Styela clava: one gene and its partner. The protein of the gene in region 2 purifies or fractionates together with the protein of the main gene of each other region. This does not show direct contact. Links are inferred from orthologs where the notes say so. Each region holds a gene or a part of one and is shown on either strand. Other genes may lie near its edges.

The links.
Region 1: the proteins of AP-2 complex subunit alpha-2-like (region 2) and protein numb homolog purify together in Drosophila melanogaster (affinity purification with western blotting; 5 studies listed by BioGRID). This does not show direct contact. The link is inferred for Styela clava from reciprocal best matches to the Drosophila melanogaster genes AP-2alpha and numb.

Annotation. Positions count from the first base shown.
Region 1 is NC_135258.1:8,270,520-8,281,578, forward strand, and holds the start of protein numb homolog, read right to left. Parts: upstream 5,334-11,059; 5' UTR 5,173-5,333; coding exon 5,044-5,172; intron 3,645-5,043; coding exon 3,570-3,644; intron 88-3,569; coding exon 49-87; intron 1-48.
Region 2 is NC_135264.1:18,528,154-18,538,696, reverse strand, and holds the start of AP-2 complex subunit alpha-2-like, read right to left. Parts: upstream 4,805-10,543; 5' UTR 4,722-4,804; coding exon 4,655-4,721; intron 3,934-4,654; coding exon 3,865-3,933; intron 1,244-3,864; coding exon 1,101-1,243; intron 872-1,100; coding exon 800-871; intron 216-799; coding exon 94-215; intron 1-93. Other genes in the region: programmed cell death protein 6-like, read right to left, coding at 8,797-9,001, 10,013-10,446. UniProt on the Drosophila melanogaster protein: Adaptins are components of the adapter complexes which link clathrin to receptors in coated vesicles. Clathrin-associated protein complexes are believed to interact with the cytoplasmic tails of membrane proteins, leading to their selection and concentration.

The DNA of each region.
Region 1 (11,059 bases), on a different chromosome or scaffold from region 2:
GAGACATTCTTTTGTTAAAATGGTTTAGAATTATTCTATTTAGTTTACCCGTCCGAACATTCTTGCTGTACGGTGTTTTCTCAGATCCTGTTTCGTTGAAATTAATAAAAAAAATGAATCAAAACAAAGATTTTCACAACAATTCGACAAATACAAACAATATTATGAATTGAAATAACAATAAAAGTTGATTGCAAAGTTATGATCATATGAAACAAAAGTGAATCAAATGATTACAATAAAGAACATATTACCGTACATAACTAACAAAAGTGACAAATGACAAATCTATTCATTGTGATTTCAACAATGTTTACTTACAATTAGGCAAGTCCAGAAATTTTCTTAAAAACAAGGTCAGAGCCTGCTTAAATGATCAACTTTATTTCGTCGATTCGTATTATGCCAACTCGAACGTAAAAAAATGATTTTGAAAATTTATATTTATCTAAATATTAAAAAATTAAATCCAAATTTCTTTCAAAAAGAATTATGTAAGGACATTCCTAGTTATACAGAAGATGATCGAGCACATCACACAAACACATAAACACTCAAAAAAATCACAACATTTTCACAAAAAAATGTATTCAAATATTATAGTCAACCGCAATTTCTGTCATATTTTTTATTCTGATACGGGTGATAATACATCATACCGACGGCATTACGATTCATAAAAAGTTTTTTTTTACTTTGGAATAATAGATATTTCTTTAGCAGTTCTAACGCATCTTATTATTTAATAAATTAAATAACTTTCAAAATCCAACTGGAATTTGAATTACAATCATGAAAGCTAACTTTATAATTATATTGTATAACTTTGCAAGTAGCATTAATTTCGTATCTTCGGTATAAAAGCCTTTTAAGCCTTGAATTGTTTTACCACCCATACTTCAAACAACTCAAATTGATGTCAGAAGCAGCGGAGCTTTGTTTACTTTTTGATTAATGTTCTTTAATCCATGTCCCCGTTGGCATTCAACCATGAAAACGAAACTGTATTGAACTAATCAAGTAAATAACCACAAAATAGGCTTTAAAAGCTGTCAAGTGGATCGAGTAATACTTTATAACTTTTCACAAATTGAAATTGAAATGTCAAGTTGGTTTTATACCAAATATACTAATATACCAAACGTTTCTATTAACAGTAACAATTATCAATATTAAAATTCAGCATATAAATTTTATTTAAAGTTTTTTCCATATAAAAATTCTACAGCAAATACAAAATGGTTAGTTTAGGTTTTATTTCTGGGAAATTAGCCTAAAATTGTTGAAATGCTTGGAGCATACTTTTGGTGGTTTCAGTTCTCAAAAGACTGCTATTATAAAATAAATTACAATCAATTTCTGTAATTTAAAACCACAGAAAAGAGAAGTCGATAATTATAAATAGGTAGAAATTTCACACACGTTCACCTCATTCATAAAAACGTGTATACTGTAGTATGAAATGACTATCTCATTAAGAACAGTAAAAGCAACAATCTACCGGTATATTATTTTATCTCGGAAGTTGATAAAAATATGAAATTTGAATAAATAAAAAGAAGTTTTTTTGGGCAGACAGCATGGAATACTATTCAGTATCATCAGTCATCACATTATTAAAAGACAATTTAAATTAAAAATGTTTAATCTTTTTCATATAGTGCCTATTACCTATAAATGTTTTTTCCTGAATTTCATTATATTATTATAATGATGGCAATGGTACATGTATTACTTTAATAAAGTCAAAAAATGTCTAAATCAGATGTTTTAATTCTGATTAAAGCTAAAAAAAAATTAGCTTGCTGTCTGCATAAAGATACAATTTGGATATGCAGGCAGTAGTTTGTGACATATTAACTTTATAACACGATGCTAAATTATATCATAAAACAAGAATGCTTAAATCAATAAATGATGTGACATCATTCCCCTGGCAAATTTACTCAGTGTAAATCAAAGAGGCAACTAGGGTTGAATTTGTGTAACCCTACATATAGTATTAGTCCAATAAATTAGAATAATATTTCTTACAATCTGATCAAAAAGATATTCGACGAAAAGTAAATTTTTACGAAATGCTACATAGTGAAGATACAAAATAAAATTTGGCGTATATCGATTATCATGTGTTTCTATTTGAAATATGCTGATTTGGGATACATGTAATATGATGAACAGTGGTAAAAAGGTAAAGAATATTACAGATTCTGAAATGTACATTTACATATCCTTCCAAAAACACCAAGTAAATTAAAATTCATAAATGGCACACACAGGTGGCCAAAACCAAATGATCTACTATTCAAATCCATTTATTAAAATAATATTTTTACATATTAGCATACCGAATACATTTTAAATATTCAACCAATAAACAAAAAAGTCAATACATGCATACTTAATGAGTTTGTTTTGGAAATACAGGGGAATAGTAGATAAACAGTAATTTGAATTTGTTTGATTTGAATTATTAAAAATCATAATATGCAGGCCTTTTTGGTCCATCTGTGAGACCCCTATTACGTCGAAATGAATTAACGATTTTAAATTACTGGACATTACTGGGTACATTTGAAAATTAAAAATTTATATGTTTCATTAACTTAATCATACTTATATTAAGTCACCAACACTTGGATGGGGAATAGTCGATAATACACATAATTCCATCAGTCAAGGGAATAATTATTTACAAACTTAAGAGCTTTAATAAGTTCGTGCACTGGGGAATCTTATCCTGAACATAGCTTCATTATCAATCAATAGGAGAGCTCATTTGTATGTAAAGCACGGTTTAATTATGCTTTTTCCAGTGGGATATGTTTGAAACTAAGCCAAAGGTCACAAAACAGATTTTCTATGTTATGCTTGTTATAATGTCGTAAAAATATTATGCATGAACCCACAATATCATGATTGCTTTGATTACGCCAGAAGCATTCAATTGCCCGAGGAAAAATTCTTATCGCATCCTGAATCTATAGGAAAACGTCTTTGAATTAGAAAGGAAAAATAAACAAACAATAAAGAATTAACGTCATAAGGATGATACATTAGCACCACAATGTTAAAACACAGGATAACCGCACTTCCGACTGTCTATATTTAATCCCGATATGAACCATTGTTTGAAGCACACTAAAATTTCATATTTGACATTGATAAATTGATATATACAGCTTGATTTGCCAACTAACATAAATTAACTGTCAGTTGTGTAACAAAAATACACAACCTAATTTGCAATAGACTCGTGATCTAATAAGCAATAATTGTATTATAAGTGCACAGGTAGGTATTTTGATGTTTAACCAGACAAACGGCATATGAATATGCTACACTCATTATATTGCAAAAATATCAATTTTTCATTATAATGATATTTGATAAAAAAAAAATCCAATTTTTTACTGAAGCTAATTGCAAACCTTCATTTGCCGTACAGAACTAACAACAAACATAAAAGAAACACAATTTATACTGATATATATCATAGCCACAAAATTTTTAACATGTACATGAACACTGATACAAAAATTAGCAAATGAAATTAAATAAAGTCTCACCGCTTTTAGACTTTTCACTGCTTGTTCACAAACTTGCATTCCTCTTGAGTCTTGAACCTCAATACATCCAAGATACTGAAGAGAGAAAAAAAAAAAAAAATAACCAGATGATGCAGATTTAGGAATTTTCGCTATTCATCTTTCATTTTCTATTTACTGCCCACTTTTCAATACATAACACTAAATAAATTATTATGCATCACTGTCCGGTAAAGTGTCTATAATCATCAGTTTCTTCCAATAAATCTTCTATTAAAAACCATCCACAATTTTAAATCACTGATTTGTTGATATTAAATATGCTGCTAGATAAATTTAACACAACTGATTAAAACAATTATGTGTGAATATAGATTTTGTATTTATGAGTAATTGACTGATATCAAGTATTACCAATTTGTCCCTAATAAAAAAAAGCTCATGCTGTTGTTTGATACAGACTAATTACAGATTTGAATAAAGGGACAAAACAAGTTTTTACCAAATAAAGTTGGAATATAGGTATAAAATAGAACAATTTTTCCTGTGTTGTTATTGTTTTTGTTTCGCATAATTTTAATCTTACAACAAATCACTGTCATATATTTTGTGCTGATCGAACTGTTTGGTGATGCTACAAGAGTGGTAGACCAAATTGTGGTAGAATACAATAGAGGCTGAAGTATCTCGATGACAATCGATGTTCGCATCATTGTGTAGACGTTATATATAGCTGATTTGGCATAGGTTCACACATTTTCATCTGGAAACAATTTGTTCGGTTGTTTGTTTACACACCATCTCACACATCGCACACATATCCACTATTCAGTTCACTATTTTGTTTGTAAATAATTTCAGGTAATTTGATTATGAAGTTAGAAGCCTGAATATTGACCAATCATTTGTATTGATGTTTATTTGTTTGTGTTTGTTGTGATTTGTTTTCTTTCTTCTTCGGTGAGTGAACGAACTCGTTTAATATGTTATAAATTTATTTTTAGGTTTTGTTCAATTTCCAGATTCTTCGCCTTTCTCTTTTTTGTGTATTGTTTTATTTTTTTGCGAATGAATCAAAATAAAATCTATCTATCTATAAAACTTGAAAATTTACCGTAGTTGTAATAAAATTTGAATGCAGTATATCAACAATGAAACGAACATCTATCAGTGTTACAATAAGCTATAAAATATATTATTTCAGGCTGACAAATCTACTAGGCAAGAGCTTCAACCCGAAAATAAAAAATTTGAAAAAAAAAGGTCATTAGAAAATGAAGAAAACATTCATTTTTTAATTTCAAACTCCTCTTTTCATTAAATACCTTTTTCTTTGAACTTTGATTAGAGCCAGCTTGAAACAGTAAAAAGCATTCACATTATTTCTTAGAATTTTTTTTAAAAAAATGTTTTTTTCTCTATTTTAACATTTGACGTTGTTTTCTTGAAACCCTTATATTAATACACACACATTCAGAAAGTTTATATTATCTACCTTAACATGAAATTTACAAGTTCCAGTCTGTACAGATTTTTCATCCTGTTGCCATTCAGGTGGTTGAGTACTTTCTGGAACTTTTGGTTTCTTCTTCCTTCGAAAACTATTCCGAATTGACCGCATCATAGTGATTTTTATAGTGTTTAAATAATTCCAATAGTACTGTAGTATAAGATATTTCCCTTACACGTTCAGCCTTTTTCAGACAATGGAGTCTTATTATCTATTTTTTATTTGGAAAACATGATAGGCTAGTTGAGCGACCAATGCTACAAAAATATAACATCAAAAATTTTAATCTACGAAGCATGAAATAAACTGACATTCAGACATTATACTGTTATAAGGATGGAAAATGAGTTGAATTCATGTATTTGATCATGTAATACAGTAATCCAACTTACTGACTTACGCTGGTTTATCTTTCTACAAAATTTACTCAAAGCATAAAAATGTTTATCTAGCTATCCAAATCACTAACTTCAGGACTTCATTTTTCAAAAGCAGACCAGAAGACAAATAGCCTAATGCAGAAATTTGCTGAAAATCAACTGTCAGATTGCTGGACTGTCGAAGCTGTCACTTTTACATTAAAACAACAACAAGAACAATATTATTCTGATTAGACTACTGGCTGACTGGTAGGGCTTAAGTCAGTAAGTTAATTCAGTAATTGTGCTCCCAGCTTTGCAACTTCAGTCTGAGTCTGTTAATGCAACATACGGTACCACCGTCAGACCGTACCGGTACCTGACTGTCAGAATATTGTCAGTTACGGTAGTATCCTACCGGTACCGGTACCGTACCGGGACCCCCTTTTTCGCCAAATAAATTCCAATGCCAAACGGAATTTTCGTATTAATATTTTGAATCAAATCATTTTATTTTAAATACATAGTTTTTGAGAGTTTCGGTACCGTACTGTAGTAATTTCAGAATCTTTTTCCATACGCGACCGCAGGGAGAACGAAGTGACGTCATTCCCATTTGTAGTTTGGATTTTTAGAATGCAAATTGCTGTCACATTGTGACGCCAGAGAGTAAAAAGTTTGGATAGAATTTCATATTTGTTTCGGCGGTCATGTATACTCTTTGGGGAAGTAAGCCAACTAGAAAGCTTAATCATATGACGAACCTTGAACCCTCGTCCGGTTACCAGCCAACTCCGAGTATTGGAATAGTTAGCCAGCGATTCGTTCCAGGCGCATGGACGATTGTCGAATACATTTTAGATTGCGAGGCACCATAATTGGTAGCATAAAATATAAATGACCGTTTATAATTTTATATTATATTCCTCCTTCCTCCACTTAACCAAATAGCTATCACGTCCCCCCCGCGACAGCTAAGCATCAAGCAACCTTTTCATGAATTTCTCATTTCTAATCCCATACAAAATCTCCACTCGAATTATACGTGCCAAATCCCACCTCCCAATCCTACGTGATCGTTCCCGGCATTTATAAACTTAAATCACCTCATATTACCAGTCTTAACTCTTCTGAACTTCTTATCTTCGACACTTTTTACAAAACTATCAAGACGACTGTCATTTTATTGGCGAACGTTTTACATACAACCTTTCGTGATTTATATGCGCAAAAGTAGGCTATTATAAACCAACAAATTTCGAGGGTTTTAACGTTAGAGAAACATCCAAGTTGGTTTAAAAAAGTGGAGCCATTATTGGACACGTAGTGGACATAACGATCGTTTCAATATTATGTTGTTGTTGTTCTTGTTATCCTTGTTGTTGTTCTTGTTCTTTGACACGTTTTTAAAAAGTCGCTTTTCTCTTCGAATACTGGACCAATTGCTTTGAAATTTTCAGTGGTTGAAGATAAAATTTTTCTCCAGAAGGCTATTACTTTTTTTTTCGCTATGACGTCATCAAAATTATTGCCATTGGGTGCCTACGTGTCCATATATTTGAGCATAGCTCTCTTGTTTCCCTTCACATCAGAAAGTATATATTTACAGGATGCCCATGAAGTGATAATTTCTTTTTAAATTGAAAGAGGAATTTATCGATATATCATATATTGTTTTGGCCCTCACAGATGTATTAAATCGTAAATATACACTATTAAATGAAGTAACTGATGAATAAAAAATAACAAACCTGGTTAAGATATATAGATATGTATTAAGAACTGAGTTCACAACAAAATTGAAATTGTAAAGTAACTTTATTTACACCCTGTATGCGGCTTTAAAAGTATTGATAACGTTGTGAGAAAATTCGAAATAAATTAACGTTTAAGCCAGGGGTAGGGAAGGTTTTTGGACTGGTGTCAAAAATTTCCCCACCTATACTAGCGGGCTAGTAAGTGTGACGTAGAAAGTTACATTCTATGCACAATATTCAAAAGCAAAAGTGGAAAACAATAAGCTTCGCGCAAATGTAATCACAATCTCAGCAAATTCCTTGCGCTATTTTGTAGCTAAAACATCAAAATTTGGTTTTAGTTTGGTTGTGGCAGCATCAGGCGGGCCAGATTGGATTACCCAACGGGCCGGATTTGGCCCGCGGGCTGTAGTATGCCCATTACTGTTATGCAAGAGTGACTTTCACCAATACACAAAACTTCGCGAGAAAACTGCGCGCAAAAATGCGATGGATGATGTAGTGGCCGTTCGCACATAGTTGGATCTCAGTTAGATATCGGGTCGAAGGACATGAGGCGTCGAATAGAAAATGGGATCTACTTGTATGTATAGATAATCTGCTCAAGAACACGCAGTGTGACTTTTTTAACCCAAATAAATAGCAATAAATAATTTTTCCTATCCACAATAATCTTTTCTGTGGAACCCAAGTTGGAGGCCACTGCCCAGGGCTGACACATTGAATTTGCAGTATAAGAATGACTTTATTATTATTCATTTCATCATTTTATTTCTTTTCGTAATATTGATGTTGTAAGTATATACGTATAAGGAAGCATAAGTGTGAATTTGTCCAAGAAGAAAGTGACTAGAATCTGAATGTAAAAAGGGATTTCATTTTTTTTTTTTACATAAATATATTTATTGGCAACTGACAAGCATTGTTGAGCTGTAATTATTAGTTTATTTATACATGAAATACACTTCGAGAGTACAGAATGTAAAAAGAAACAAAACTGTTATTTCAGGAGAGCGCAAGAAACCAATACTGGTTATCGAGCAGCGACACCCGTGATTGAGTCTAACAGAAACGAAAGTAAATTTACCTGAAATTTCTGAACTTCTGCTTCTAATATGTAAAAATGAATATGGATATGGAAAATGGATAATTTATTTCTTCATCATGCTGAAAATACGAACTTATTATTTCGTTACCGTCGTTTCATTCGGAATGGGGTGTTTCAAAAATGTCGTGTCCCACTTGTCCCAGAGCAAAGTGGGACACGACATTTACGACACACCGTGCGAGTAGATAATAGATTTGCGAGCCATATATTATTATTAGACATAGCATATTATTAGCTTATAATGTCAAAGTCAATTATTATAAATTCAAATTGATAGATATTTTCTAGGTAATATTTCTGTTCTTTTCTTTCTAAAGTTTGAACATTAATTAATAATCAAACATATTTGTTAAAATCGATCTAAATCCAATTGGTAAAATCGATTCAAATCTTCATGTAGAACATCACACTATTAAAAGCACAGGTGATCTGTAAATCAGTTCGAAAAGCAAAATGTTGATCATGATCATATTATTTAATGTTGAAAACAATTACATTCATTTTACGATAAGCGAAATGTGAGATTCTTTTGCAGTTTACGATTTCATCGAATAATGTGGAAGAATAAATGCAAGCATTCAAATATTTTAAAATCCGTCTCTCCGGATTTTCATTCTGTCTGTTCATTCTATCACCAAAATGAAGGTATAAAGATTGCTGTTCGAGGTACACACACAGCCTACCTAGACGCCAATGTAAGAAAGTGCAATTGTTTTTTATTTCCGTTTTATTGCTTATCAATTACCTCTATAACAAATGTAATATAATTTCATGCTTGCATTTAATATCTAGTTCCTAGTATACCCTAAAAACAGTATTCCTCTTTTATTTATATTTAAAATGAAGGTAGACTATATTCAATTAGACATAACGTGTGTATAGTAACTACTATTGACATAAGTGTTCGTGTCAGCTAAAGTTGGGAAACATGCCCTCCATGTCGCATCTGGGAGGTTTATTCCAATTCTAGAATTCAATTGGATCGTTTTCTGCTCGTGGGTCGTAATATGCTCCGGGATAAGCCTAGCCTCAAGTTTAGGCTATAACAGTAATTTTATAGTTATAATATATGCAAATTGCAGAAATATGCCAAAAGATAATCGAGGCTCGAAAACTTCAGGGAATATTGTCAACTTGGAACTTTGTTTTGCGGTTCATTGCGATCATTTTTTATACTCGATTTAAACAAGGATTATGATTTTATACAAAATATAACAAGGCCAGTGTTTGAATTTCAATAAGTGATGAAACAACCGAACAACAGAAAGCACCTGCTTCCCCTATTGAATCAATAGGTGAAAATATGTTCGTCGTTTGGTGTTGGCGCCTTGATGTTGCGCAAATCAAAGCAGTAGTTTTGTCTTTCAATGGAAATTAGATTACCGGCATCATAGTTCGTAATAACAGTAATATTCCGCCATAAACAATATCGTCAGAAGAAAAACGGTTTCATAATTTCACATGGGAGATGGACTTTTGCATATTACACTTACTCAAGCCTCTCGCTCCGAAAACTATGCAAACACCTACTGTTTCGCTGTGTTGTCAATATTTAGTACTGATTTGATAGAAACAGTGAAATCGCAAGCATAATCATGTATTTTACATACATATATGTGTGTTCATATATTTGATTTATGCTTCATTGTAGGATTTCAGTTCAAAATATTGCGTCTCTGGGAGTGAGACAGATTCCTGGGCTTGACTGTGCAAATGGAAGCGATTTTACGAGTTCACGGTGAGGTATTGCATCTTCTATCGCGCAAAGAGTTCATCCGTCTAAAAAGTCTTTTAGGCCGTCACAGGGGTACGCGGACTCGCTAGGTGAGTGGTAAGAATTTAATTCGAACCAGTCATCGCTTAACTGGGCTTGTAAGCTAGTGAGCTAAACATCATAAATTCCATAAAGTGGCTCGTGCCGTAACCAAACAGTGTTTGCGCGTGAAGTCATCATAAATTAGTCTATCTATAATCGTGGGTTGTTAATAAAATCGACTTTACGATTAAAGGATATTTCGGTTATTGCTGTAGTAAAGTGAAATTACAAAAGATTGCTTGGCAAGATTATTATGTAGCCTACTATTATGTCATTCGTAAATAATAATATTGTCAAGCAATCTTTTGTAATTCCACTTTACGTTCGAGACATGAATTCGACTTTTACTTTAGAATGTGGGGCGTGGTTTGAATATATTGCTCTACCTATTGTACGTTGAAACCTGGTAGCTGTTTTTACTCGTTGGAGATCGACCCAACCTGTGCGAAGTTGACAGAACGATTTGTTGAACACGCTGGGTTAGTCAAAGGGTTATTTTACATGACTATAACCACCTGATCATTTACTTATATTCAGAAATAAGATGGAATTTGAAATTTTTACGAACATTTCAAAAACCATGCGAAACATTGAATCCTGAAATTCATGATCACGTTTGCTGGTTGTCACGAAATCCCCAAATCCCCCACAGTTTACGTTACTACCAGGCTGTGTTGTCGGCGTCCGGTAGCTTTAATTTTCCAAACACACTAAGGCACTGTGAATAAGGCAATTCTCTTGAATCGTTCAAGTTTTTTCTAAACCCGAAGGGGTATATTGTAGGACTTGTATAAGACTTATTCCTTCCTTGTAAGTTGTATTGGGAGACGCTCATGAAGTTATTCCACAGCTATGAGAAAATTTTGGGATTAAATTGAAATTAAATAAAATTGACTTAGCGTTGCTCGATAACGGCTGTAAACACTACAAAGGCAATTTGATTAAAATGCTTGATTCTGGT
Region 2 (10,543 bases):
TCAAGTTTGTTTTATTTTAATCAGCGGCTATATGGTACATGGCCTTGTTCAAAGCGCAAGAAATGAATGAGCAATGTATAAACAATAACTTACGGTGAGACGAGCAGTTTCGGGATTTCAGGAGCAAAGGCTTCGGCCATATCTTGGGATCCGATGTTGGCGATGCAGTGGAGAGCAAGGTTAACATGGATTGGGTTTGGTGATGAAATATCGTTCTGAAAGGTAATGGAAGGACTAAAGAAGATCATCGTGAAAGTTGTCAAAGGGATAAATAAAATGAAAAATACTAACGACTTTATTCTGAAAGATAGCAAAGGGGTTAAATAAGAGCTAGGTAGGGAGCTGAACTAGGGAGTACAACAGAGACCTCAAAAAAAACATAACTTTTCTGATCAATTCTATGAAAAAAGTATTTGTGTATGATTGTGCACATTCAAAATCTGCACAACAGTTTTGTTCTCTCTAAAACAATCCCCAAAAGATTTGGATTCCATTTTTAGGGTCAACCTTTAAAATGGGAATTCCCAGCAAAGTCTAAAATAAAAATTCAGTAAGTAGGGTCACTTTATCATATGCGATCATGGTTTGTGGCACGCCAGGCCAAGTTAAGTGACAGCCTTACCATGGAATAGCACTTATCATCACGATCTTCATATATAAAGTTATATTGTTTGAAATAACGAAATCGACTTTCATGGAAAGAGATTGTCTCAATCTAATGGTGCTATCTTATTCAAGCAGGGAAACAACTACACAAGGAGAAAGGACCTGCAGTTCAACAAGTCTTAAACCCTCTTACCTTGATGTTCTGGATGATCAACTTGATCAAGTCTGAGCTCGAACTGACCAGAACAGAGATGAACAGGTAACCCTGGAAAAAAAACACTTATTATCCTGGTAAAATACGGGCTTAGCAATGGGAGCTGTAGACATGAAAATGGTCTACCAGATGTCATTCATTGAGCACTCACAATGGCTGGATGGAGAGCAATGTGACAATGACATAGCGGTGGTGCAGTCATGTTTAGCAATTAAAGCAAGTTATCACACAGATTTATAGTTTCTTATGCTAAAGTGCCTGCTTTGAAGCCAAAACTCACAATCTGCTTCTCAGTGTACTTGTTTGAACTGAGAAGGTTGACGGCTTCCATATGTCCAAAGTCAATGTCGTGACCCAGCAGGAATATGAACAAGAGTTTGCAGACATATTTCTTCTTGCTGTATCCATCCAATGTCTTGTCTCCTGCAATGAATATTTATCTTTTAAGATCGCTATCATTCCAAGCTCTAATGAACCGACCATACATAACGCCGAGAGTAAATCAGAAGAGAAGCTTTACCACCGCCTTTCTGTGATGCTTTTGAGCGGGAATATTGCTTTGCAAATGGTTGCAGTTTCACTAATATTGTTTAGTTCTTGAGTAATACTCATTTATGCATCCGCTATAAACAGGGATTCCATACCGTCCTTTTTTCTAAGGTTTGTCCTTATTTTTGGCTTATTTTTAGCTTGCGTCCGCATTTTTGGCTTGCGGGTCCTTATTTGGTCTTATTTGGACTTCATATTAAAAGCTTTGTTGTTGTTGATCTTATCGCCAAGGCTTTATTGCGGCATCGTAAAAACAACACAATCTTATTTGGAACACAAAGAAGCAAGGCACAGATAGGCATGAAGCATTACTAGTGTGGCGATCCTTGAGTTTCGTCGTGGTGGTGGTTATTTTAGCTTAAATTTAAATATGAGCAAATGTAAAAACGTTTTTCGAGTACGAGAAAGAGTTCAAAGTTAAACGAAGCTTGAAGGGTAAGTGCTTCGCACACTGTGGCGTCTGTAATTGTGACATTAACCTGGAGGCCATTGGAAAGCCAGCTATTTCTGCTCACAATGCAGAAATTTTTCCAGTCGTCCTTTTTTTGTGTTCCAGATGGATGGAATCCCTGGCTATAAACCATTCAAACCAGGGTTTCCCAAACTGGGGCCCTCTTGGGGGTCCATGACAACTGCACAGTGGGTCCGCAACGATATGAAAAAAGTTCTGATCGATATATCATGATTGATTTTAATCAAAGACCAATTGAATATTTTTAGTTGAGCGTTGCGGACGAATATCCACTGCTATCAGAAAAGGCAATTAAAATTTTATTGCCTTTTGTAACGACCTACATGCGTGAGGCAGCATTTTCACCTCTTAACAATATGATGATAAAATACAGGTTGAGACTTGTCGTAGAGTCGATTCTACGAGTATGCTTGTCATAATTTGTTAATGTCGTTTGCGTTGTTGTGTTGTAAATGAAACATTACCATGGATGGGGGTTCGTCAAAACTAAGATTCTCAAATAGGGGTCCGCGGCCCAAAAAGTTTAGGAAACTCAGATGTGGACTGGGCAGGAGTGCGAATTGCGTACAACATTGGACTCATTTAAGATTATTGAAGCCTTTACACATAGAATAGGGTGAATAAAGAGCAGGTCTGAACAGGCCAAGGGAGGAATAAAACAAACATAGGAACAATTGTTTTTCGATACATCCGAGCAGACAAAATATGACAGAGTGGATGCTTATATTGACATTAAGTGTCTCCTTAGCTGCCACAATTAGACAAGTGTCATGATTTAGCAGGAGGCACAATGTGAATGAAATACAAATTGTCTGAGCATGATTGATTTCAGCTGCTCAACCAAATCTTAATAACATGTTTTGGGCCGATTTCACATAAAAAACATATTCATACAAATTCTGTTCAGAGTTTCAAATGTAGTGAAACTTTATTGCATTTATAAACAAAATATTTTTGAATTCAGTTGAACATTTTGCGACCCTGTTTGATATTAATTGACTTCAGTATTGATCCATCAAGCAACAGCCTGGATATTGATCTTCAATATTTTGATCAATTTTGAATTCGAACCAATAGTAAGACGCCTGCATAGCTGATGTTCCAATATTTCAATAGGTTGGTATTAAATAATATTTTTTTAGATTTTGGGGATTTTTAAAAATAGACTTAATTTTGTTCATAAAAAGTGTTCTGAAAATCGAAAATAGTTGCTGATAATTGCCTCTGCTGTGATATTGTTTCACATTGATCCTTTTCCCAAATACGCTCAGCAGGGTTCATCAGGTCAGCTTGACCACAAATTTTCATGTGTAACATTATAGCTTTGATAAAGCATTTCCTGGGTATTGAAACATGTCAGCTTGATATGAATCAAAAAGCCCTTCCACTAAAATACCAAACCAGTTTGAAAGGAAACATCATGCCTGGTACTGGGACCTACTATAAGTCTCAACTCAGGAAACAACCAATTATAATAAACAAACAAAACAATCACCGGCACAAAGTGCTTCCTATTTGTTCAGGAGTACAAGTCGGTAACTCAATGACATAGAGCCAAACAATTTGTTTTTAGCAATTCATAAATTAACAAATTATTCAAAGTTTATTCGATTTGTTTTCCATATTAATAATGAGGTATCGGTATTTGATGAGTCATTATAGAATATTACTTCGAATGTATCATTAGTTAGAAAACCAAATTCGATGGAATCCCAAAACCGCAAATTAAAAATGAGAGCATACCTAGTTCTTTAATAACTTGCTATGGTATCATAGCAATGCCATCTTAAACTATATAGTAGGACAAGCTAGGAAGCACAGTTGGAACCAATAAGAACCAAGCATTACTACGAACAGAACCTGCTGTGAAATCATAGCCATCTTGTACAGGAAATAGTAAAGAGGGCAGACTAGCCATGTTTCACTGCTACAGGAAAGAATAGCTAACACAAAAACAGCGAGATAATGAAGCATAAATGGGAATTAATTCTTGTGTTTTCTATTAAAATATTTCAACTCTCACCTTTGAACTTTGACCTTATATTTGCTAATTCTTTGTTTATTCTTTTACTCTCTGCTTCCTTGCTTTTACCTGGAAATAAGAATAGTTTGGTCAACTCAATGAAATCTAAAACACGCTACATGAACTCACTCTAAGGCAGGGGTCACCAACCCGTTGACCCCACGCACCATATGAGTCACCCGCAGGTCTGTTTTGAAATAACTCAAATAACGGCGCTCATCAGTAAGCTACATCTATTAATTTTATTCTTGCTATTCTTGTTCAAACCCTATATGAGAAATGGAAATGACAATATAATAATTAATAATTATTGTAACGGTCAACCTTTTCTATATGTGACATCGGTAATGTCACATGTCATTCCAATTATGACATCACACACAATAGATCAGCTGGAGCCATGTGTGTCGTTCATTTCTAACCTTTGCAAACCGGAGTACAACACAAGGGTGGAGATGCAATACCAGATTTCCCACATACTGAGGAGGAATACACCAGATTTGGTCTTGGTTGAAAATATGATATTCATGATTTGTTAAATGTGTTGGTAAAAAAAAAACCTTTGATAGGACACCTACTATTGATAGTTTCATGAATAATAAACATTATCAGTGTCTCCTTCGCTAAATACCATTAATATCAAATTGGCTTTTCAGTAGAGTGATTTTAGCTTAGTCGGTACCAAAAAAGTAGCCCGCAGCTCCATAAAGGTTGGTGACCCCTGCTCTAAGGTAAGAAAGCCTCAGAGCAAACAATTTTAAATCAATTTATAGTAAAATCAAAAACTTACAGTTTCTAATATCAGCTATAAAGACTGACAAGCCCCTCATTCCATCACCACGGGAAACGGCCGGCATTTTGCTGATTTGAGACTTATTATAGCCTAGCAACAAAAATTTTCTGAAAAATACTATTTGAAAAATAATGGAAATTTTAATTTGAAACATTGCAAATTTGTGAAAATTCAATTTAAAATGAGGTCATAATGGTTTGAAAACAGAAAAGTTAATTGATTTGAAACAATTCAACCGTAAATGATAATATCACAGTGGGTTTACATAAAAAGCAAAAAAGTATTAAAATATATGATACAATAAATATCCCCGCTGTAAGCTTCAGGGTCAAATTTACCAGAAATAGACTTTTTTGTCCTCCATCAATATGGACTGGGGGCAATCTTTTGGATTTCAAAGCTGTGGCTGTTTTGGTTTTATTTTCAAGTATTGCATTGCGTGCTTTCTCAGGTTTGGCTGTTAGAACAGAGGTCGGCCAGGGACCATGTAAGTGTGACATAAAAGCTTACATTTCTTGATTCTGCCCTGCTTATTTTCTTGGCGAACTCCATAAATCATCATCAAATAAGGTGACTTCATGACCCCCAGATGATTGTGCAATAGTTGTATTAGATTGTGAAATATTAGACAAAGATTGTGCAATACGAGCATGAGATTTAGAATCAGTGTTGCCTGATTTTTGTTTCCCAGGGGCTGGTTTAATTTTACAATCATCATCATTGAAAAATAAATCACTCATTTGAGAAAGGGCCCGACCAGTTTTAGAATCGCTGCATGGACTTGATGGTGACACGATAGTATCAGTATTAGTGAGCTGGTTACTTCTATTATTAGCCGAATAGTTATCTCGAGTATATGTGCCATTGATTATCTGATTTGACGAATTATGACCATCTGTTCCATTTCTGAGTAATTTCTTCCCTGGGGAATGCTTTGCATTATCAGAGCCCAACTTTCTTACATTATTTGACACAGAAAATAGGTCATCGATGTTGGGTCCTGGCTGTTCACCAGACTCTATAGTAGTGACGTTACTAGTAACTGGTTTAATATTAGACCCAGGTTTCTCTATACAAGTCAGATTCACATTTTTTCCACAAATATCAAGGTTTTGGTTTTCCACGACCTTCACTGACCTTTTACCTTCAATAACAATTTCCTCGTTTTCATCTGAAAATATTATCGGCGCAAATTTATAGTTTTTCCTCCTCAGGGAGCCGAATCGAGACCGAGATATTTTAGACTTATTCCGATCCATGTTAAACCTTTTCTCCATTTCTGAGGCATCGAGTTCTTCATCAGAGGAATCTTTCTCATTTGACAATCTCGATTTAACAAGTTTTTCATTTGGGACTTTGGATGTTTTGCTGTGCTTCAGTGAGCGTTTCTCAGCCAGAAAATTTGTGTTCTCTGATGTCTTCACATCACATCGAGTTATATTTGAGGTGTCTTCATTGTCACTTTGTTTACAAATCTTTGTTTCATCGTCAAACTGTTTTTCTGTAAGATTACCATCCAAATTCATTGCAAGTTTATCCTGTTTTCGTTTTCTTCTGTTGCCTCCACCAGACATCTTGTTGCCCTTAGCAACGGTATCTGGCTTCACTGCATTTTTATTTATTGAAGCAGTGGGTTCAGAATCGCCCTTTTTTAAAAAGCTTCCATGTTTATCGTTACTTGATGCGACACAACCAACACTAGTGGTCATTGAAGAGCCATGTATTTTTGCGTTTTCATATTTTGACAGTTTACGAGATTGTTCAATATGTTTTGTATCATCATCACTATCAGAGTCGGAATAGACTATTGGACCTTTCTTAGGCCTTCTCTTTCTTTTGAAAACTCTCGTAGCATTTGAACAATATTCAACACAATCCTTAGAATTTTGTTTTATTTCCAACTCTGCAATATTTACAGATGAGTAATTCCCACACCCTTGCTGATCAGATAATCCTTTCAATTTATTACTGATTTCCACCTCTGCATTATTTCCGCTTGAGTAATCCTTTTGTTTATGTAATAATCTCCAAAAATCAATTGGCAGATTCAAATCTTCACTCTCACTACTTTCCATTTAGTCTAAGTTAATCATATTATACATTAATTCGAAGAATTATGAAAAAAATAGTTTCTTATTATTAATATTTTCAGTATAAATTGTGATACCAGCTCTACCAAATCTAGGCACTCTAAAAAACTGAATTCTATGCAAAGATATAATGAGTCCAGATAAAATGTTTATTCGACATGACCAGAAATGCTAGAAAGAGCATAACATGACATGAATTTCACTTATGGCCAAACTAGCAAATTTAACAAAGATACAGTAATTACATAAATAAAAACTTTCCAAATTGCAGGCATTCAGTAAACGAATATACTTTTGGATACTTGTGATCATCACACATTTTGAAATTGCCAGCCCTATTTACAACATACCGGTACATGCCTTCGGGAAAAAAAATAACGTGTTCCCTGTAAGAGATGTATGTTTCTCTGAGCATAGAATTCTCTGCTCAATTCATTATGAAAGCTCAAATATTCTAATATAAAATGGATATTTATAAAACGAAAGTCAGATGTCCAATTCACGAAAACAAGAACAGACAATTCTGCCACGATTGAGTGTAGGGAGATTTTTCTTGGGTTAGGAAATGAGGAAACATTTATTAGCAATGAGCATTTACTGCAGGCACAATTTGCACAAGTATCTCAAATGCAATATGAAAAATCTGGATCAGGAACATTGGTAACAAGAATAAAGCATCAGCACTGCGTTTCTACTCATGAAAACTGCGCTAGCTGGGCTCATCACAATAATTGAATGAATAGAAAACAAGTGATCAACAATACACAACAAGATATGTAAGAATGCAAATATTAATTCAATTCCCAGATTACAATTTCCTTCCCAAGATTCAAATATCTAATATTACATCATAAAGCAGGATACAAATATGTATTGTGACTCAACATAACATTTTATCAAAGTCGGATAGGAAAATTCTTTGATCATAATTCTCTTGGTCAGTGCCAGGTATTTAATGCTCCACGCAATACAGAGCTCTAAATTTAATTTAAATACCAATTATTAACGAGTTATGTCACAAAAACTGGTTATTTCATCACATCAAAGCAAATGTATGTATCATTCAATAAAAAAATCAGAGCACTATTTTAGAAGAGCGCAATAATCTCTTCCATGAATATTTAGAATAAGAAGTATAAGATTTCAAATCGAGGGGAGAGAAAAGCCTATAAGACATATTGATAACTGGGGCCTCTCGTCCCATTCCAAGTCCATGTTGTGTACGTGAACATTATTATTACAACCAGTTATTCATTTCTGACACATGGTCTTTGATGTTTGTTCAAAGCAAGGCTACATGAACTCACTATGAAGTGAATATAAATACATAACATTGTACCGAATAAATTTGCAATAATTTAGACTTGGATGAATAAACATTCACATCAAAATGTTTCTCTAAAAATCTAACAATTCCACTGCATAATGAATTGAATGGAAATGTTAAAAACCAACTTTCATAAATGTTCTTTTTCAGATAAATAAAGTCCATGGCATGGTTTCTCAAACTAGGCCATCGACCCTAGGGGCCCAGAGAGTAGAACCGCTAATCAGATATCATTAGCAATACATTCATTTGAAGTAAATTGCCTGTGATGCAGTTCTTGTTTTTTTTATTATTATACATGGGTAACATGGTCAATGAAAACATGTTATTAAAAACCAAACTTGTTATTTTTGTGAGAGTTGGAAAAGTGTTGAAGACTTCAGAAGGGCATGAAAGTTTGAGAACCATGACAAATCGGAGTGAAATTTTATGAAAGTTTGAATTCTGTTCAATTTATTTCTAACCCCAACAAACAAGGTATTCAAAATAAGGGTCGCCAGGTTTCACCACATGGAAAAGGCGAATAATACGGCGTGAAACACCTGTCTGATTGTCTTGTTGAATAAACCTGCAGTATTGAATCAATGTCCTCAATATAATTATTCATCACAGAAATGAAAATAATATTTTCTCGAATTAAGAAGAACTAGGATTCCCAGAAATTGGACATTCGGTAAACTAATACAATAATAGGTGGATACATATCAATTAAAGGTTTTGAGTTATGACCTAACACTGAACACCATGGAGAGAAATTCTTCGTACGATACTTGAATCATCCCGTTTCTGCTGGTATCTTTAGCACTGAAGGACTTTGTTAAAGTTTGCAGAACGACGCAGCACTGGATGAAATCATCGAATGCAATCGTTCCTCGGCCCTGACGATCAAACTTTCTGACCAACAGGTCGTAGAATCTATCCGACAATCTGGAATGAAAATCAGAATTAGAAGCCTAAAATTTGGATGCCAAAACTTTTGTCTCATTTGTCTCAAGGGAATTTATAAAAAAACAACCCCGGCTTGACTTCAATTCAATCAAAGTCTGATTCCGACTCTCTAGTCCTGGGCCCAAATATTTACTGCGTTACATCTAATAACCATCTGCTCTTATCAGTGGTTCACAGGTTCGTCATCCTACCGTGAGACAATTCGAGTTATGATTCTGTCGCCTTAGGATTTGTTTGAAAATAATAATCTTGTATTTAACCTACATAATCACCACAGATATTTGCCATACCAAGCAATAACAAATGCCATACAAAACCAGATGTATTTCTTTATTATTATTTTCAAACAGCTGTCATGGAGACTGGAAGTCAAAATCATAAGTTAAACGATGCGGTGCTTTGTTTATATTTAGACGAGTTAACTGATTAGAAATATTAGTTTATTTTTTATAGGGGTTCGCAGACTGGCTGCACCACCCGGGTCTAGTATAGTTTAGTACCACAAGTACTTCCAGTGGGCGTAGCAAAACGTTTTTAGCATATGTTATTCCTAACCCTCACCTGACTATGCCAAACAAAAATTACGTCACTACGACGTCACCATCACGTCATAGGGATTGCCAAAGTATAATTACGATCGCCCGAAATGGCATCTGCGCCGCCGATAAGAACTTGCTAAAGCCGACAATCTCTCTCCTATCGTGATCGTTGCAACAAGAAAAATAGCTTGCTCGATTTCGGGTTATCGTCTGCGCGTTTTGTACGACCATCCGCATACTTCGGTGAGCCTTATTATGCCACTGTGACGTCGGAATGACATAATTTTTCGGTGACGTAGTCAGGTGGGGGTTAGGATTGACATATGCAAAAATTGTTGAGCCAGGCCAACTAAAAGTGGATGTGGTACTAAACTATACCAGACCCCACCACCCTACCCTCTGTTCCCGGCCAAACCAGTAATTTGCAATGAAACACTCAATCTCGACTTACCTGTATCCAAACGAAGTCAATGCAGTTTGTAATTCCCTTTTATCAATCGATCCAGAATTATCTCGATCGTAACTTTTAAACGTATTCTGCCAATCTGTGACGTATTTCCACAATCCTGCAAACTCTTGAAAATTAATTGAACCGCTGTGGTCAGTGTCGAACATTCCAATCATCAACCGAACTGTCTCGGGGTTGAATGGCTGCCAAGTTCCGTTAGACAAAGCTTCTTGAAGCTCTCTTGTCGAGATCTGACCGCTCCTATCTCGATCTACACGAGTGAAAATTCCCCATAAATCAACTCCAGGGATTTGTTGGTGAGGGGGAGGTTGGCCATAACCACCAGGTGCTTGGTAACCTTGCTGGGGGTGATAGTTCTGCTGCTGGTACCCTTGCTGCTGCTGATAACCTCCAGGCTGGTTATACTGGTAAGCCATTGTTTCTCTCAGTTCTGTAGCTTTTAAGACTAGATTGAGCTGAAAAACACAGAGGTAAAAAAGCGAGCTATTTGTTAATTTGGCAGATAATGAATAA